Linked DNA regions of Saccharomyces cerevisiae S288C. Changing the gene in region 2 together with the main gene of any one other region gives a genetic interaction. Each region holds a gene or a part of one and is shown on either strand. Other genes may lie near its edges.

Region 1 (7,152 bases), on a different chromosome or scaffold from region 2:
ATAGTTAAAAATTGTTGAGCTCAATTCACGCTGGATTCGGCGATCCGTTTTCTTCAATCCTCACGTGCTTTCTTCGTTTGAGTGCAAAAGTTCATATGATGCTATCTCCCGCTTATCTTATTAGTCGAAAATGGGGAGAATTTCCTATTTTATCTGTCGTTTAGCACATATGGCCAGGAAAATACATAAGGTTTCGCCGAACGACGGGGTCAATTCGTCCTTTTTGTACACATCGTTTAATTTATGAGGAAAAATTGATGAATGTATCCTCCGTAGACGCTCCTCTGAAAAGTTTCATGTTTCCTGCGCGTTCCTTTGATAGGCAATAAAACAATACAACGCGTGCCTTTGAAAATGCCAAGATCTATACGAGGCCTCTAACAAAACATCGTTCAGGAACAGAGAATGCTAGAAATGCAAAAGGGTCCCTGGGTACTCATTGAATAGAAATGATTGAAAATACTGCGTATAAAATAGCACGACTAAATGATACTATTTTTATGTCGACACGGTACTATTTCTTCTTTTTCAGATAAAAGTGTAGCATACTAAATATATACCCCAAGTAATGTCTAGAATTAGTATATTAGCTGTCGCCGCAGCATTAGTGGCAAGTGCAACCGCCGCATCCGTGACCACCACTCTATCCCCTTATGATGAAAGGGTCAATTTGATTGAATTGGCTGTTTACGTTTCTGATATTGGCGCCCATTTATCTGAATATTACGCTTTCCAGGCTTTGCATAAGACTGAAACATACCCACCTGAAATTGCCAAGGCTGTTTTTGCCGGTGGCGATTTCACCACCATGTTGACTGGTATTTCAGGTGATGAAGTGACCAGAATGATCACCGGTGTGCCATGGTACTCTACTAGATTGATGGGTGCTATTTCCGAAGCACTTGCGAATGAAGGTATTGCTACTGCAGTACCAGCTTCTACCACAGAGGCTTCTTCCACCTCCACTTCAGAAGCTTCTAGTGCCGCCACTGAGTCTTCTAGCTCCTCTGAAAGTTCAGCAGAGACCAGCTCAAACGCTGCTTCCACCCAAGCTACTGTTTCATCTGAATCTAGCTCTGCTGCAAGCACCATTGCAAGTTCTGCTGAAAGTTCTGTTGCAAGCTCTGTTGCAAGCTCTGTTGCAAGCTCTGCTAGTTTTGCCAATACCACAGCTCCAGTTTCTTCTACATCTTCTATCTCAGTCACTCCAGTGGTCCAAAATGGTACTGACAGCACCGTCACAAAGACTCAAGCTTCCACTGTTGAAACTACCATAACTAGTTGTTCAAATAACGTCTGTTCAACTGTGACTAAGCCAGTCTCCTCCAAAGCTCAATCTACAGCTACTTCTGTCACATCGTCAGCATCTCGTGTTATTGACGTTACCACTAACGGTGCTAACAAGTTCAATAACGGTGTTTTCGGTGCCGCTGCTATTGCTGGTGCCGCCGCTCTATTGTTATAGTGATCATGTGCGGCCCTGTACAGTTGTATAAATGATGTAAAATAATTGAATTCTCTTAATTTTAATATTTATAAGATATATACTATAAGCGTAAGGAAATTCCAAAGAAATTTGTTTTTTAGTTTGCAGTCTTGTGCTCCAACTATTTCCGGTCCTTTTCGAATTTCATGTCAGGAGCATTCCTTATTGCAGACAGCTTAACAGAAAAAAAACTGTGAAAAAAATAAATACCTTTAGATATTAAAGCCCTAAATTGATATCAAATTTTTTCCATATTTGGATTTTGTATTCCTTAAAGCCCACATCCTGTGAACGGTTACGCTCAAATAATGGCCAAGTAACCTACGATCCAATAGCGACGTATATATATCATATAGAAAAAGGTCATCCAGAAAATTTGTGTCAATAAGTATCAGGTCTTTTATATGTATTTATATTATTTTCCGTCAATTTTCAATCTTGCGCCCATAGTTTCAATTTTCTTGTCTGTTGTGATTCCTGATTGGACATTCTGAAATCCTTGTCCAGCTAAAATAAAGTTAGCCAATTCTGGATACTTTTTTCTTACTTGCTTGAAAGCACTATACATGTAGCCATATGGAGGAAGCTCCTCACCTTGAAAATTAGCAATGACTTTTTCGATAAAAGGAGTAGAGATGGTCCTTGCAGGCTTTCCTGATATTATATTAACCATTTTAGTTGTTGTTTCTCGAGTGAAGGGGCTTGAAAAGTTTTTTGATGCATTGGATTCACTGCAACCAAGAAAAGCAGTCCCCACTTGAACAGCGTCTGCTTGCTGTGATAACATGTATGATATATCTTTGGAATCCATTATACCACCTGCTGCAATGACAAAGGGAGTAGCATGTATAAGACCTTTATTTTTCATTTCAGCAAGTTCATCAACTGTTCTTTTCACCAATTGTACAGTTGATAAGTTTTCATCATCTTTGGGGTCATTTACTAAGAAATTTCCTCTATGTCCTCCCGCTTCATAGCCTTGACACACTATGCCATTAATGCCGAGACGTGCTAACAATCGAACTTCTCTTACAGAGGTGGCAGTCACAAAAATTAGAATTCCAATTTTTTGTAAATATTCTATTGTAGATTTCGACGGATGGCCAAAATGGAAACTAATGATTTTAGGCCTAAAGCCATCTGATAGGTACTGGAAAAAATCTTGAAGAGCATTTTCTTTTTCAAATGCCTTAAAAGATACATTACCATTATCGAATTTAATCTCATTCATATCAATCGGCACATTCATAGACTTTCTGTATAGCTTCGCCCAGTTAGCTGTTTGAAGATCGGTCGGTTTATCAACGATATCATGGCAAAAAAAGTTTAGGTTGAGATTGCCCTCTAAAGATTCATCGGCTACTTGATCTCTGAATTGTGAAACCATCAGTTTAAGCTTTTCAATATCATTGACCTTTCTGAAGTCTAAGTGGGATAGGGGTAGTGAAGCTATGGCGCCCGCAATACAAGCCTTAGCGGCCATTTCAATAGTCGTGACCCCCGCCATAGGGGCCTGGATGATAGGGTATCTCAAGTTTAAACATTTTTGGAAAGATCTGCTCATATCTTCTCTTTTATCCACCGACATTACGGAAACGTCTTGAAATATTAGTTGGTTTAAAAAGTACATGAATTGTCTTGAGTTGCTTCTAAGGTATGTATGGGCCCTTTTCTATCCGCGCAAAAGATGTCCTTGATACCGATAGGCCAGCACTAGATGACAAGAAAAAAAACGAAAGGATAATTGCAGGTTTCGACATACATTTTTTATCAGATCACTGCAAAATCCAGGAATTCATATATACAATGTCAAAGGGTATGTTATATTCTGACATGACCCCTTAACTCAGTAGAAAAAACGCTCTAGTTTTATTCTTTTTAACTTTTAATTACTTTACGTAGCAATAGCGATACTTCAGTTCAAATCAGTAACAACCCTTGACCAATTGCCATGCTCAGTCTCGCCATATTGGATTCCATTAATCCATTGTGCAACTTCTTTGGCCAATGGACCGGTTTGTTCGCCGGGCAACAACGGAATATTAATTTGTTCGCCTTTCCAGCCGATTTCCTTAATGGGAGAAACAATCGCAGCAGTACCAGAACCAAAGGCTTCAAGTAGTTCACCGTTCTTGGATCTCTCAGTAACTTCGCCTATAGTGAAGTAGCGTTCACTAATGGTCCATTCACTTGGTTCGAGTCTTTCTTTAGCAAGATTTAAAATGGAATCCCTAGTAACACCTTCCAAAATGGTACCGTCTAGTGGAGCAGTAACTAGTTCCTTCTTGCCCGTTTTACTATCTTTAAACACGAAAAAAGCATTCATGGTGCCGACTTCAGTAATGTTGTTATTTGGACCAAATAGCCATAAATTTTGTTGGTAACCCCTTGAAGCAGCTTGCAATTGTGGCAGGACGCAGGGGGCGTAGTTTGCACCTAGTTTCTTGTCACCACAGCCTCCTGGCCAAGCTCTTGTGGCATAATCAGTGGCTTCCAGTCTGACCGCCTTAAATCCAGTTTTGTAATAAGGACCCACAGGGCAGCAAATGACATATAGCAAGGCTCTATCAGGCGTGGAAACCCCTAAACCGGCCGTAGTGCCGATTAATGTAGGCCTGATATATAAAGAGTAACCTTTTCCTTCAGGAACTAAGCACTTATCTTGCTGGATCAGTTTCCCAATTAGGGTAATCAACTCTTCTGGGTCGAACGTTGGCAAACAGATTCTCTGAGCAGACTTATTCATGCGCTTCATATTCATATCTGGACGAAACATTGTAATTTTGTTGTCCACCGTTCTGTAAGCCTTCATCCCTTCGAATAGCTCAAAAGCATAATGGAAAACCACCGCGGAAGGGTCTAAAGACAGATTTTGATAAGGTTTAATCTCTGGGGTACCCCACCCTTTTTCAGCTGTCCATTCCGCAGTTAACATGTGGTCCGTGAAGCTCTTGCCAAACACTAACTCACTGTTCGGTTTTGGCTTAGATGCATGTTGTGTGGTAGTTATCTTAACTTTGGAGGCGTCTAGGGGTGCCAAGGTCATATCGTTCTTAAAACTCGTGGAGATGCTTTCCCTTAAATTTCTAAAATTTTAGTAGTTAGTCTGTTTTTATTAAGGATTTCTCAAAGGAATGAATTTTTTCCCAGGAAATAGTCGAATATCTTGTAAGCTTATATTAGTTATACTGTCAGCTCATTTCGGATCTCCTCTCACTCACGTACGGCTCTTAATTTCTACCTATTATTTCCGTTTTTGTTGACAGAAAAACGGACATAGAAGAACGACACCAAAAAGAAAAAGAGTCGGATCTACAGATTAGATAACAAGAGGTGTCAGAGAGGGAAAAGAAGCTAAATTAAGTGTCACCCGAAAGCGGAAAAAGAACGCCGTTTGCAAGAATGGTTCCGGGGCCAATGGAACATTAAACTTTGGTGTAGTGCGGTCACAGAAAAAAAAAATCGTACACGTATATAGTGGTATGCTAGGTCGTGAATGACCCTCAGAGGCAGGTTTTCACGTTCGAAGATGTTTGGAAAGGAGCGTTATAAGTTGTGTTGGGGTGAAGGGGCTAACTAGGATGTCACTGAACCCCAACTGCAAAAAATGGTGGAAATAATAGCGAGAGTAGTTGGAGGGAGCAATGCTGGTATCTTGAGGGGAGACGGGTCTGTTAATAATGGCTATTACAGGAAAGCTTGGGAGTAGGTTTCTCAGTCTCTTGAAGTAGATGAGATGTTCTTGTTGCATGTTGGGCGACACGGTGACGAAAAGAAGGTCGTATGCCTCGGGATGCAACTGCGGGTGCCACTGAGTGGCCGTATCCAAAGAGCAGTTCATAAATTCGAACACGCCGGCGAAGCGCATCAAAGGTGTTTCTGACAATTCGGATGCGTTTGGTATTAGTAACAGCAACGAGTAGCGTTTGGGGCGCTTTGGTTGGCGTTGCTGGTGTTGTAGACAAGAGTCCGGGCATACAACCTTTTTGATGGCTTCAAAATTTTCTTGAAGGAAGTTAGCGGTTTGGTAGGCGTGAAACTGGTGGTAGGAGATTGTCTGTAAGCTGGCGTTAATTTCCCTTATAATACGCAGACTATCTGCGTTTGTCGACTTAAGCTCATCAAGATTGCCCTGAAGCCTGTCAACATTTTTCACTAATTTCTCGAAGGAAGGCTTGCCGATGGCCTTGCTTAGAATGGAGTTCACTTTGAAAGGGTCCCAGTGAAAAGTACACTGCTTATTCATATTATTGACGGCGGCGACATTGGGAGTGGCGGCAGACTGATGAGCTTTAACCAGTGAGAGGCTATTAATGTTATCTTTTTGAAAATGAATGTTGGAAAACTCCACGCAGTCCGGGCGGCCCGCCTTCTGGAAGTTATATTTGCTCAATTGCTTAACGAATGCTGCAAAGGTGTGAATACCAAAAAATCGCTCTAGGATGACTTTGGTGAACTGGTCCGGATTCCAAATGACGAGCTTGCTGCCATCAGTCGACCATTGTATTATGTTCGAGTAAGCGTTCCCCTGCAGCAGGTGGTAGAGTTTGCTTACAAAGACATCAGGCTGCTCCATCCTCGATGTTGCATCCATGTCTGACGTGCGTCGCTACACGAAAGAGACACACTTGGCGACTGCCCTGACTGGCAATATATACAGTCCGCAAATGTCGCGGACTGATGCGTCCACTTACTCTTCCTATATACCACCTGGGTGAAGAGGAGAAGTGAGCCCGTTCTGGAGATATATGTCCAAATATTTGCAGATCCAGTTTTGTCATTATAATGAGATGCCTTTTGGGCGACAAAGTTCGGGTAAAAGAAGGACGGGTCCAGGAAGGCCGTGGCCACAGAACAATGCGCAGAGAAGATTTCCGGTTTCTTTTTGGCTTTTCCGACTTTCATCTTTTAGAACTAAAGATTTCCTGCATCGGTAAACCTTAGCAATGTTTCTCTAGAGGGTTTTTGCACACCAGACACGTCGCACGTGCTCTTGCAGAGACTGCTGCGCTTTCGTTTACACTCAGATAACATAGTCTAGCTAGCTTGCTGTCGTTCGGCACGAGATCTAATCCTTCTCCTGGCCTACCGTCTGTGCAACCATTAGTCATGATTACGTGTGTTGCGCCTTATCTTGTCATTATGGCAGCATACTTTTCGTAGTCCTTTCCTGCGCAGCTTGTCCATTTTCGTCATTACGTAAAAAGTCCTAATGGAGAGCTGGGTACTGCATTTTTTCGATGTTTTCAATATTCAGTTCAGCAGGAAATAAACAAATAAACAAACATTAAAATATCCTGGTTTTTTTTCCCAGAGACGCGTGGAAGCACCCATGCATCCACTATTTATTTTTAAACAGCCGTACATTCTGTAATTTTGCTTCCTTTTTCTTCCTGCGTTCTTTTTTTCTTGAACTGTCGTTTTCCGTTATTTTTTTCGGTGACATCAGTTGAAAGTAGCAGCGGCCTAGGCCGGGAGGCCGTGTAGCTCTTTGTAGTCGTGGTAAGGGGGAGTAGCAATTCACTTAGTACGTGGTCTTGGAGTTAGGCTGGCTCGGACTGGCCCTGGCAAGTCCTGTTCTGTGTGGTAGTATTGAAATTTCAGAGATTGTCGGCAATACTAGTATATTAAAAATTATACTATAATTTAATCTAGTGTTGAAATAC
Region 2 (8,242 bases):
CCAAATTACCTCTTGATGCCTGCGATGTTAAATCATCGATTATTGTTGGGATATTATAACGTGATGCTTGGGATCTTTTCTGTTGTTGGTATTGATGTTGCTGCTGTTGTAACCTTTGCAATTGGTGTTGCTTTAAACCTTGTACAGTAAGCGGGCCTCCCGCGCCAGGGGAACCAACTCTTGACAGTGGTATTTGTTGCTGGCCAATAGCATTTTGGTTTTCTAAAGACATAGATGACCTGTTATATCTTAAACTGGATAGTTTACTACTTGAGTATCCTGTTTTAGGAAGAGCATTTGCTGTTGGCGTGTTTGTGGTGATCGTACCTGTTTCTATATCCACTTGTCCCTCTTCGGGAGAATCGTTGGGTCTGATAATATACCTGGGACAGTCATCAGAGGTTGCATATTCCCCCAAATCGTCACGCTGCATTTTAGGTCTCATATAAACGGCACCGACCAATGGTGGCGCGTCCGGGGATCCCATCGTTGGTTCAGGAACGCGATCATGCGGCGTTGCATTAGCTGGTAGTAGATGTCTTATGGGGGAAGGATATTTGAAGAACTTTCTACCATTTACCGGAATGGTAGCTTCGTCCAAATCACGAATTTCCTCTGGTAAGCAAGCCTTCCAGGTTCTAATCTTGTTAAAAATTTTATCGGATTCATTATAACGGAATTCGCAAACGAACAAGGGACCCTCCAATTTCATATCGGGATTACCACGTTGATATCTAGTAAAGTGAATCACATAGCATTTCCCAACTAAGTTTGACACTAAATGATCACGGTACTGACCTGTTTTCATAACTTCGTTTTTGTAAAACAATCTATCCACTCTATGCACAGTTTGTTCGGGTCTGTAATACCAACAAGCGTTTAACCATTGTTTCCCATCTGGTGTCTTCCATAGCCTGAATATTTGGCCCACTATAGGTTTTTGAGGATCATTTTGATTTCGAAGAAGTGCCCAATCTCCCACGTGGTATGATATATTATTTACAATGACTTCATCTAGAGGGTATCTTAGCTCGCCTTCTGGAATGAAACTTCTATCAGGTTTGGATAGTTCGAATCTTGCCAGACTAGTAAAGGTCTTTTCTAAGATATTTGAAATTTTTATGCTTTCAGGATCACCTCTGTGCGAAATTCTAAAGTTGGTTAACATAAGATTAAAATCATTCTGGAACTCCTGGAACGTTTTATAACGACGAGTCTTTACCTTTTTATTTATGTCTTGAAGACTAATTGGATTAGCAATCATGATGTAGTAATTTGCATCTCTGTGTCTATCGGGCAATCTTTCAAAAAGATCAGTTAGACCAATTCCACTATCTAGCACCTCTTTTTTTAGTACTTTCATAACATTTTTCATTCTTTGAATATACGGTAAGTCGATGATTGGGGGTCTCCCACGCTTTACCTGAGTTCTGGATACCTGTCTATGCCTTGGGCCTAACGGCTGAGGGGTGCCTGAGTGAGATGGAGTAGTGGACCTGTTGTCTCTTAATGGTTTCCGAGTATATGGATTAATATTTATTAGTGGCTTTCTTATCAAATCAGGAAAATCAGCATCCTTAGGGTTATCGATATCCATATCCGTCGCCTCATAGTCCTCATCATTATTTGTATCGGTTCCTGGTTCTGATTCTCTTTTGACGGAAGTACGAGTCTTTCTTAATCTTCTGGCTGCTTCTGTTGAATTCATTGAAGAGCTCGACTCGGCTCTGGCTGCATTAGCTCTCGCTACTTCCTCAGCTTTTTCTCTTAATTTCTGTTGAAACTCTTCATAACCTGGTTCATCGGGTAGAGGACCCAAATCAGGATACACTAATTGAGGATATTTTTCTTTTAAATTTGGATAGATTGTGTCCTTTAAATATTTCTCAAGGACTAAGGCGTATTTATAAATTCCTGAATCTCTTGTATTGTAAGTCTTGGCATTCCATGGAATCTGGACAACATCGTTCATAAACTGTTGAGCATCTGTATAATGTGGAATACGCTTTTTTAAAGTATTGAAAGATACAGGGTTCTTGATCACTGCGTAGTAGTCAGGATAATCCTTTTTAGGTGGAAGGACATTGAATATTGGTGAAATCTCTAACCCAGAATCTTCCTTTAAAGTGAAAAGAGATTCATATTCTTTCCTCAGGTCCTTGTATAATGCGCTTGAGTTTTGAGTGGACGAGTTTGAATTGTCATCAGGCATCATGCACTGTCAATGTAGAATATTCTCCGCTTCGTCTGGTTCTGCGCGACGTGCTGTATATTTGATCACGTATTGAACTGTTACCAATACTTTTTTCAGCTGTGTTGTTTTCTCTATTTTCTCACTTTAACATGCGAATTTTCGCACGACTCTCGGCCGGGTGAGAAAAGTCAGTGACAGTAATAAACCAAGTGCAAGAGCACCTACAAATGTGCTTATTACAGTGTATTATTATGTATATATGTGCATACGTGTGTGTATGCACAATTTTTGAACATACTGTCTTTTGAACGTTTGAAAACTCGTAGGAATATATAAAAAAACTGCAAATTACTACACACTTTATTTTTGGAGAGAGAGAGGAGCCGAGTTCAGGCAGCTACAAATTCTTGTAGAGATAAATACGTGAACGAGAAACACTAGATAAATTGTCCTTCCCCATAAACGCCAATAACGGCTTGTACAAAGCCAACAATAGCAATAGCAGTTGCTGCAATTAGATTTTTAGTATGGATTGGGGGACCGGTGTGCAATGCCTCTGCCGGCTTTGATACTGTGGTTGCTGCAGGCTTCCCGTCTCGAGGTGTATTTTCTGAAGCATGGTTGTCTTCACCTAAATCAATAATAGAATCGCTCAGTTCGGAAGCAGCGAGTTTGCTGTCTTCGGGAAATAAAGAAGATTCCTTAGAGACTTTACTGTACTTTCTAGACTGATAGTTGGAGGCACATCCTAGAACAAATGAAGATAATGGAGCTACAAGCATACCATAGAGTAAGTAGGGGTGTCTCAATGAGGGAGGAGCGCCGAAAAAGCTCACACAAAAGAAAGTTGACGCAAACGCTCCCAAGGCGGTGGCCGCATTTTTCAAAGTGGTTAAAGTGGGAGTAAGGGATCCTGTTAAAACCTCTAGTGGAGTAGTAGATGTAATCAATGAAGCGGAAGCCAAAAGACCAGAGTAGAGGCCTATAGAAGAAACTGCGATACCTTTTGTGATGGCTAAACAAACAGACATCTTTTTATATGTTTTTACTTCTGTATATCGTGAAGTAGTAAGTGATAAGCGAATTTGGCTAAGAACGTTGTAAGTGAACAAGGGACCTCTTTTGCCTTTCAAAAAAGGATTAAATGGAGTTAATCATTGAGATTTAGTTTTCGTTAGATTCTGTATCCCTAAATAACTCCCTTACCCGACGGGAAGGCACAAAAGACTTGAATAATAGCAAACGGCCAGTAGCCAAGACCAAATAATACTAGAGTTAACTGATGGTCTTAAACAGGCATTACGTGGTGAACTCCAAGACCAATATACAAAATATCGATAAGTTATTCTTGCCCACCAATTTAAGGAGCCTACATCAGGACAGTAGTACCATTCCTCAGAGAAGAGGTATACATAACAAGAAAATCGCGTGAACACCTTATATAACTTAGCCCGTTATTGAGCTAAAAAACCTTGCAAAATTTCCTATGAATAAGAATACTTCAGACGTGATAAAAATTTACTTTCTAACTCTTCTCACGCTGCCCCTATCTGTTCTTCCGCTCTACCGTGAGAAATAAAGCATCGAGTACGGCAGTTCGCTGTCACTGAACTAAAACAATAAGGCTAGTTCGAATGATGAACTTGCTTGCTGTCAAACTTCTGAGTTGCCGCTGATGTGACACTGTGACAATAAATTCAAACCGGTTATAGCGGTCTCCTCCGGTACCGGTTCTGCCACCTCCAATAGAGCTCAGTAGGAGTCAGAACCTCTGCGGTGGCTGTCAGTGACTCATCCGCGTTTCGTAAGTTGTGCGCGTGCACATTTCGCCCGTTCCCGCTCATCTTGCAGCAGGCGAAATTTTCATCACGCTGTAGGACGCAAAAAAAAAATAATTAATCGTACAAGAATCTTGGAAAAAAAATTGAAAAATTTTGTATAAAAGGGATGACCTAACTTGACTCAATGGCTTTTACACCCAGTATTTTCCCTTTCCTTGTTTGTTACAATTATAGAAGCAAGACAAAAACATATAGACAACCTATTCCTAGGAGTTATATTTTTTTACCCTACCAGCAATATAAGTAAAAAATAAAACATGTTGAGAACTCAAGCCGCCAGATTGATCTGCAACTCCCGTGTCATCACTGCTAAGAGAACCTTTGCTTTGGCCACCCGTGCTGCTGCTTACAGCAGACCAGCTGCCCGTTTCGTTAAGCCAATGATCACTACCCGTGGTTTGAAGCAAATCAACTTCGGTGGTACTGTTGAAACCGTCTACGAAAGAGCTGACTGGCCAAGAGAAAAGTTGTTGGACTACTTCAAGAACGACACTTTTGCTTTGATCGGTTACGGTTCCCAAGGTTACGGTCAAGGTTTGAACTTGAGAGACAACGGTTTGAACGTTATCATTGGTGTCCGTAAAGATGGTGCTTCTTGGAAGGCTGCCATCGAAGACGGTTGGGTTCCAGGCAAGAACTTGTTCACTGTTGAAGATGCTATCAAGAGAGGTAGTTACGTTATGAACTTGTTGTCCGATGCCGCTCAATCAGAAACCTGGCCTGCTATCAAGCCATTGTTGACCAAGGGTAAGACTTTGTACTTCTCCCACGGTTTCTCCCCAGTCTTCAAGGACTTGACTCACGTTGAACCACCAAAGGACTTAGATGTTATCTTGGTTGCTCCAAAGGGTTCCGGTAGAACTGTCAGATCTTTGTTCAAGGAAGGTCGTGGTATTAACTCTTCTTACGCCGTCTGGAACGATGTCACCGGTAAGGCTCACGAAAAGGCCCAAGCTTTGGCCGTTGCCATTGGTTCCGGTTACGTTTACCAAACCACTTTCGAAAGAGAAGTCAACTCTGACTTGTACGGTGAAAGAGGTTGTTTAATGGGTGGTATCCACGGTATGTTCTTGGCTCAATACGACGTCTTGAGAGAAAACGGTCACTCCCCATCTGAAGCTTTCAACGAAACCGTCGAAGAAGCTACCCAATCTCTATACCCATTGATCGGTAAGTACGGTATGGATTACATGTACGATGCTTGTTCCACCACCGCCAGAAGAGGTGCTTTGGACTGGTACCCAATCTTCAAGAATGCTTTGAAGCCTGTTTTCCAAGACTTGTACGAATCTACCAAGAACGGTACCGAAACCAAGAGATCTTTGGAATTCAACTCTCAACCTGACTACAGAGAAAAGCTAGAAAAGGAATTAGACACCATCAGAAACATGGAAATCTGGAAGGTTGGTAAGGAAGTCAGAAAGTTGAGACCAGAAAACCAATAAAGAGGAAAATAATATCAAGTGCTGGAAACTTTTTCTCTTGGAATTTTTGCAACATCAAGTCATAGTCAATTGAATTGACCCAATTTCACATTTAAGATTTTTTTTTTTTCATCCGACATACATCTGTACACTAGGAAGCCCTGTTTTTCTGAAGCAGCTTCAAATATATATATTTTTTACATATTTATTATGATTCAATGAACAATCTAATTAAATCGAAAACAAGAACCGAAACGCGAATAAATAATTTATTTAGATGGTGACAAGTGTATAAGTCCTCATCGGGACAGCTACGATTTCTCTTTCGGTTTTGGCTGAGCTACTGGTTGCTGTGACGCAGCGGCATTAGCGCGGCGTTATGAGCTACCCTCGTGGCCTGAAAGATGGCGGGAATAAAGCGGAACTAAAAATTACTGACTGAGCCATATTGAGGTCAATTTGTCAACTCGTCAAGTCACGTTTGGTGGACGGCCCCTTTCCAACGAATCGTATATACTAACATGCGCGCGCTTCCTATATACACATATACATATATATATATATATATATGTGTGCGTGTATGTGTACACCTGTATTTAATTTCCTTACTCGCGGGTTTTTCTTTTTTCTCAATTCTTGGCTTCCTCTTTCTCGAGTATATAATTTTTCAGGTAAAATTTAGTACGATAGTAAAATACTTCTCGAACTCGTCACATATACGTGTACATAATGTCTGAACCAGCTCAAAAGAAACAAAAGGTTGCTAACAACTCTCTAGAACAATTGAAAGCCTCCGGCACTGTCGTTGTTGCCGACACTGGTGATTTCGGCTCTATTGCCAAGTTTCAACCTCAAGACTCCACAACTAACCCATCATTGATCTTGGCTGCTGCCAAGCAACCAACTTACGCCAAGTTGATCGATGTTGCCGTGGAATACGGTAAGAAGCATGGTAAGACCACCGAAGAACAAGTCGAAAATGCTGTGGACAGATTGTTAGTCGAATTCGGTAAGGAGATCTTAAAGATTGTTCCAGGCAGAGTCTCCACCGAAGTTGATGCTAGATTGTCTTTTGACACTCAAGCTACCATTGAAAAGGCTAGACATATCATTAAATTGTTTGAACAAGAAGGTGTCTCCAAGGAAAGAGTCCTTATTAAAATTGCTTCCACTTGGGAAGGTATTCAAGCTGCCAAAGAATTGGAAGAAAAGGACGGTATCCACTGTAATTTGACTCTATTATTCTCCTTCGTTCAAGCAGTTGCCTGTGCCGAGGCCCAAGTTACTTTGATTTCCCCATTTGTTGGTAGAATTCTAGACTGGTACAAATCCAGCACTGGTAAAGATTACAAGGGTGAAGCCGACCCAGGTGTTATTTCCGTCAAGAAAATCTACAACTACTACAAGAAGTACGGTTACAAGACTATTGTTATGGGTGCTTCTTTCAGAAGCACTGACGAAATCAAAAACTTGGCTGGTGTTGACTATCTAACAATTTCTCCAGCTTTATTGGACAAGTTGATGAACAGTACTGAACCTTTCCCAAGAGTTTTGGACCCTGTCTCCGCTAAGAAGGAAGCCGGCGACAAGATTTCTTACATCAGCGACGAATCTAAATTCAGATTCGACTTGAATGAAGACGCTATGGCCACTGAAAAATTGTCCGAAGGTATCAGAAAATTCTCTGCCGATATTGTTACTCTATTCGACTTGATTGAAAAGAAAGTTACCGCTTAAGGAAGTATCTCGGAAATATTAATTTAGGCCATGTCCTTATGCACGTTTCTTTTGATACTTACGGGTACATGTACACAAGTATATCTATATATATAAATTAATGAAAATCCCCTATTTATATATATGACTTTAACGAGACAGAACAGTTTTTTATTTTTTATCCTATTTGATGAATGATACAGTTTCTTATTCACGTGTTATACCCACACCAAATCCAATAGCAATACCGGCCATCACAATCACTGTTTCGGCAGCCCCTAAGATCAGACAAAACATCCGGAACCACCTTAAATCAACGTCCCATATGAATCCTTGCAGCAAAGCCGCTCGGTGTTCTTTATTCATAAGCAACCTCATTAATCTATAGTCTGAAACTAATTTCCTTCTTGAGCTGCAGCCAATAATAAAAAATAATGGCGGCACTATACTACAACATAGGAGGATCACAATGATGTTTTCGATGCTGTAAACGTCCCTGAATCCATTTTGACCTGAATCAAACGAATGAATGGAAGCGGTATCGATATGTTGAATTGGCATTCTCGCCTCCAGGTCTATATTTTCAGCATCGTGCCTGTCTTCTTTCCTATTATCAGTTTTTTCTTGTTGCTTTCGTCGTATGCTTCGAGCTGGCTTTTCTATAATGGAGTTCTGTCCCGTGTCTGACTCCGAGCTTTGAGATTTAATTGGAGCTAGCACGAGGGGTTGTCCATGTTCTGGCAACGTTTTATTTTTCTTCTTGTTCATCTTGGTCAATGGAGAGGGCGTCTTGTGTCCTTCATAGCGTGAAAATGGATCAGACTTAGTTGAATTTCCAGATTCTAAGCGTAAAGGTGTCTTCGTCCATTTGCTTGGTCCGGACACACTTCTTAATACGGGAATTGAAGGTAGTCCAATTGGTGGACCTTCTTCTTCTAGGGATGTGGAGGGCTTGCGCGTAGATTTTGAACTGAATTTTTCTTCATTATTATGCCCTATATGGTCTTTAGGAGAACTTTCGTTACTACTGTCACTATTGTGTGAAGGAATCAATATGTTACCAATTA

Evidence for each region.
Region 1: mutations in ILV5 (region 2) and BAT2 are lethal when combined (synthetic lethality), as found in Saccharomyces cerevisiae (2 studies listed by BioGRID, with this or other methods).

What each region holds. Positions count from the first base shown.
Region 1 is NC_001142.9:703,124-710,275, reverse strand, and holds BAT2 (branched-chain-amino-acid transaminase BAT2), read right to left. Parts: upstream 4,533-7,152; coding exon 3,402-4,532; downstream 1-3,401. Other genes in the region: DAN1 (Dan1p), read left to right, coding at 569-1,465; YJR149W (putative nitronate monooxygenase), read right to left, coding at 1,902-3,116; HMS2 (Hms2p), read right to left, coding at 5,004-6,080; YJR146W (uncharacterized protein), read right to left, coding at 6,038-6,391. UniProt on the Saccharomyces cerevisiae protein: Cytoplasmic isozyme of branched-chain-amino-acid aminotransferase, which catalyzes the first reaction in the catabolism of the essential branched chain amino acids (BCAAs) leucine, isoleucine, and valine.
Region 2 is NC_001144.5:835,304-843,545, reverse strand, and holds ILV5 (ketol-acid reductoisomerase), read left to right. Parts: upstream 1-4,292; coding exon 4,293-5,480; downstream 5,481-8,242. Other genes in the region: YLR358C (uncharacterized protein), read left to right, coding at 1-59; RSC2 (Rsc2p), read right to left, coding at 1-2,215; ATG33 (Atg33p), read right to left, coding at 2,632-3,225; sedoheptulose-7-phosphate:D-glyceraldehyde-3-phosphate transaldolase TAL1, read left to right, coding at 6,189-7,196; BUD8 (Bud8p), read right to left, coding at 7,383-8,242. UniProt on the Saccharomyces cerevisiae protein: Involved in the biosynthesis of branched-chain amino acids (BCAA). Catalyzes the second common step in the parallel biosynthesis of isoleucine and valine.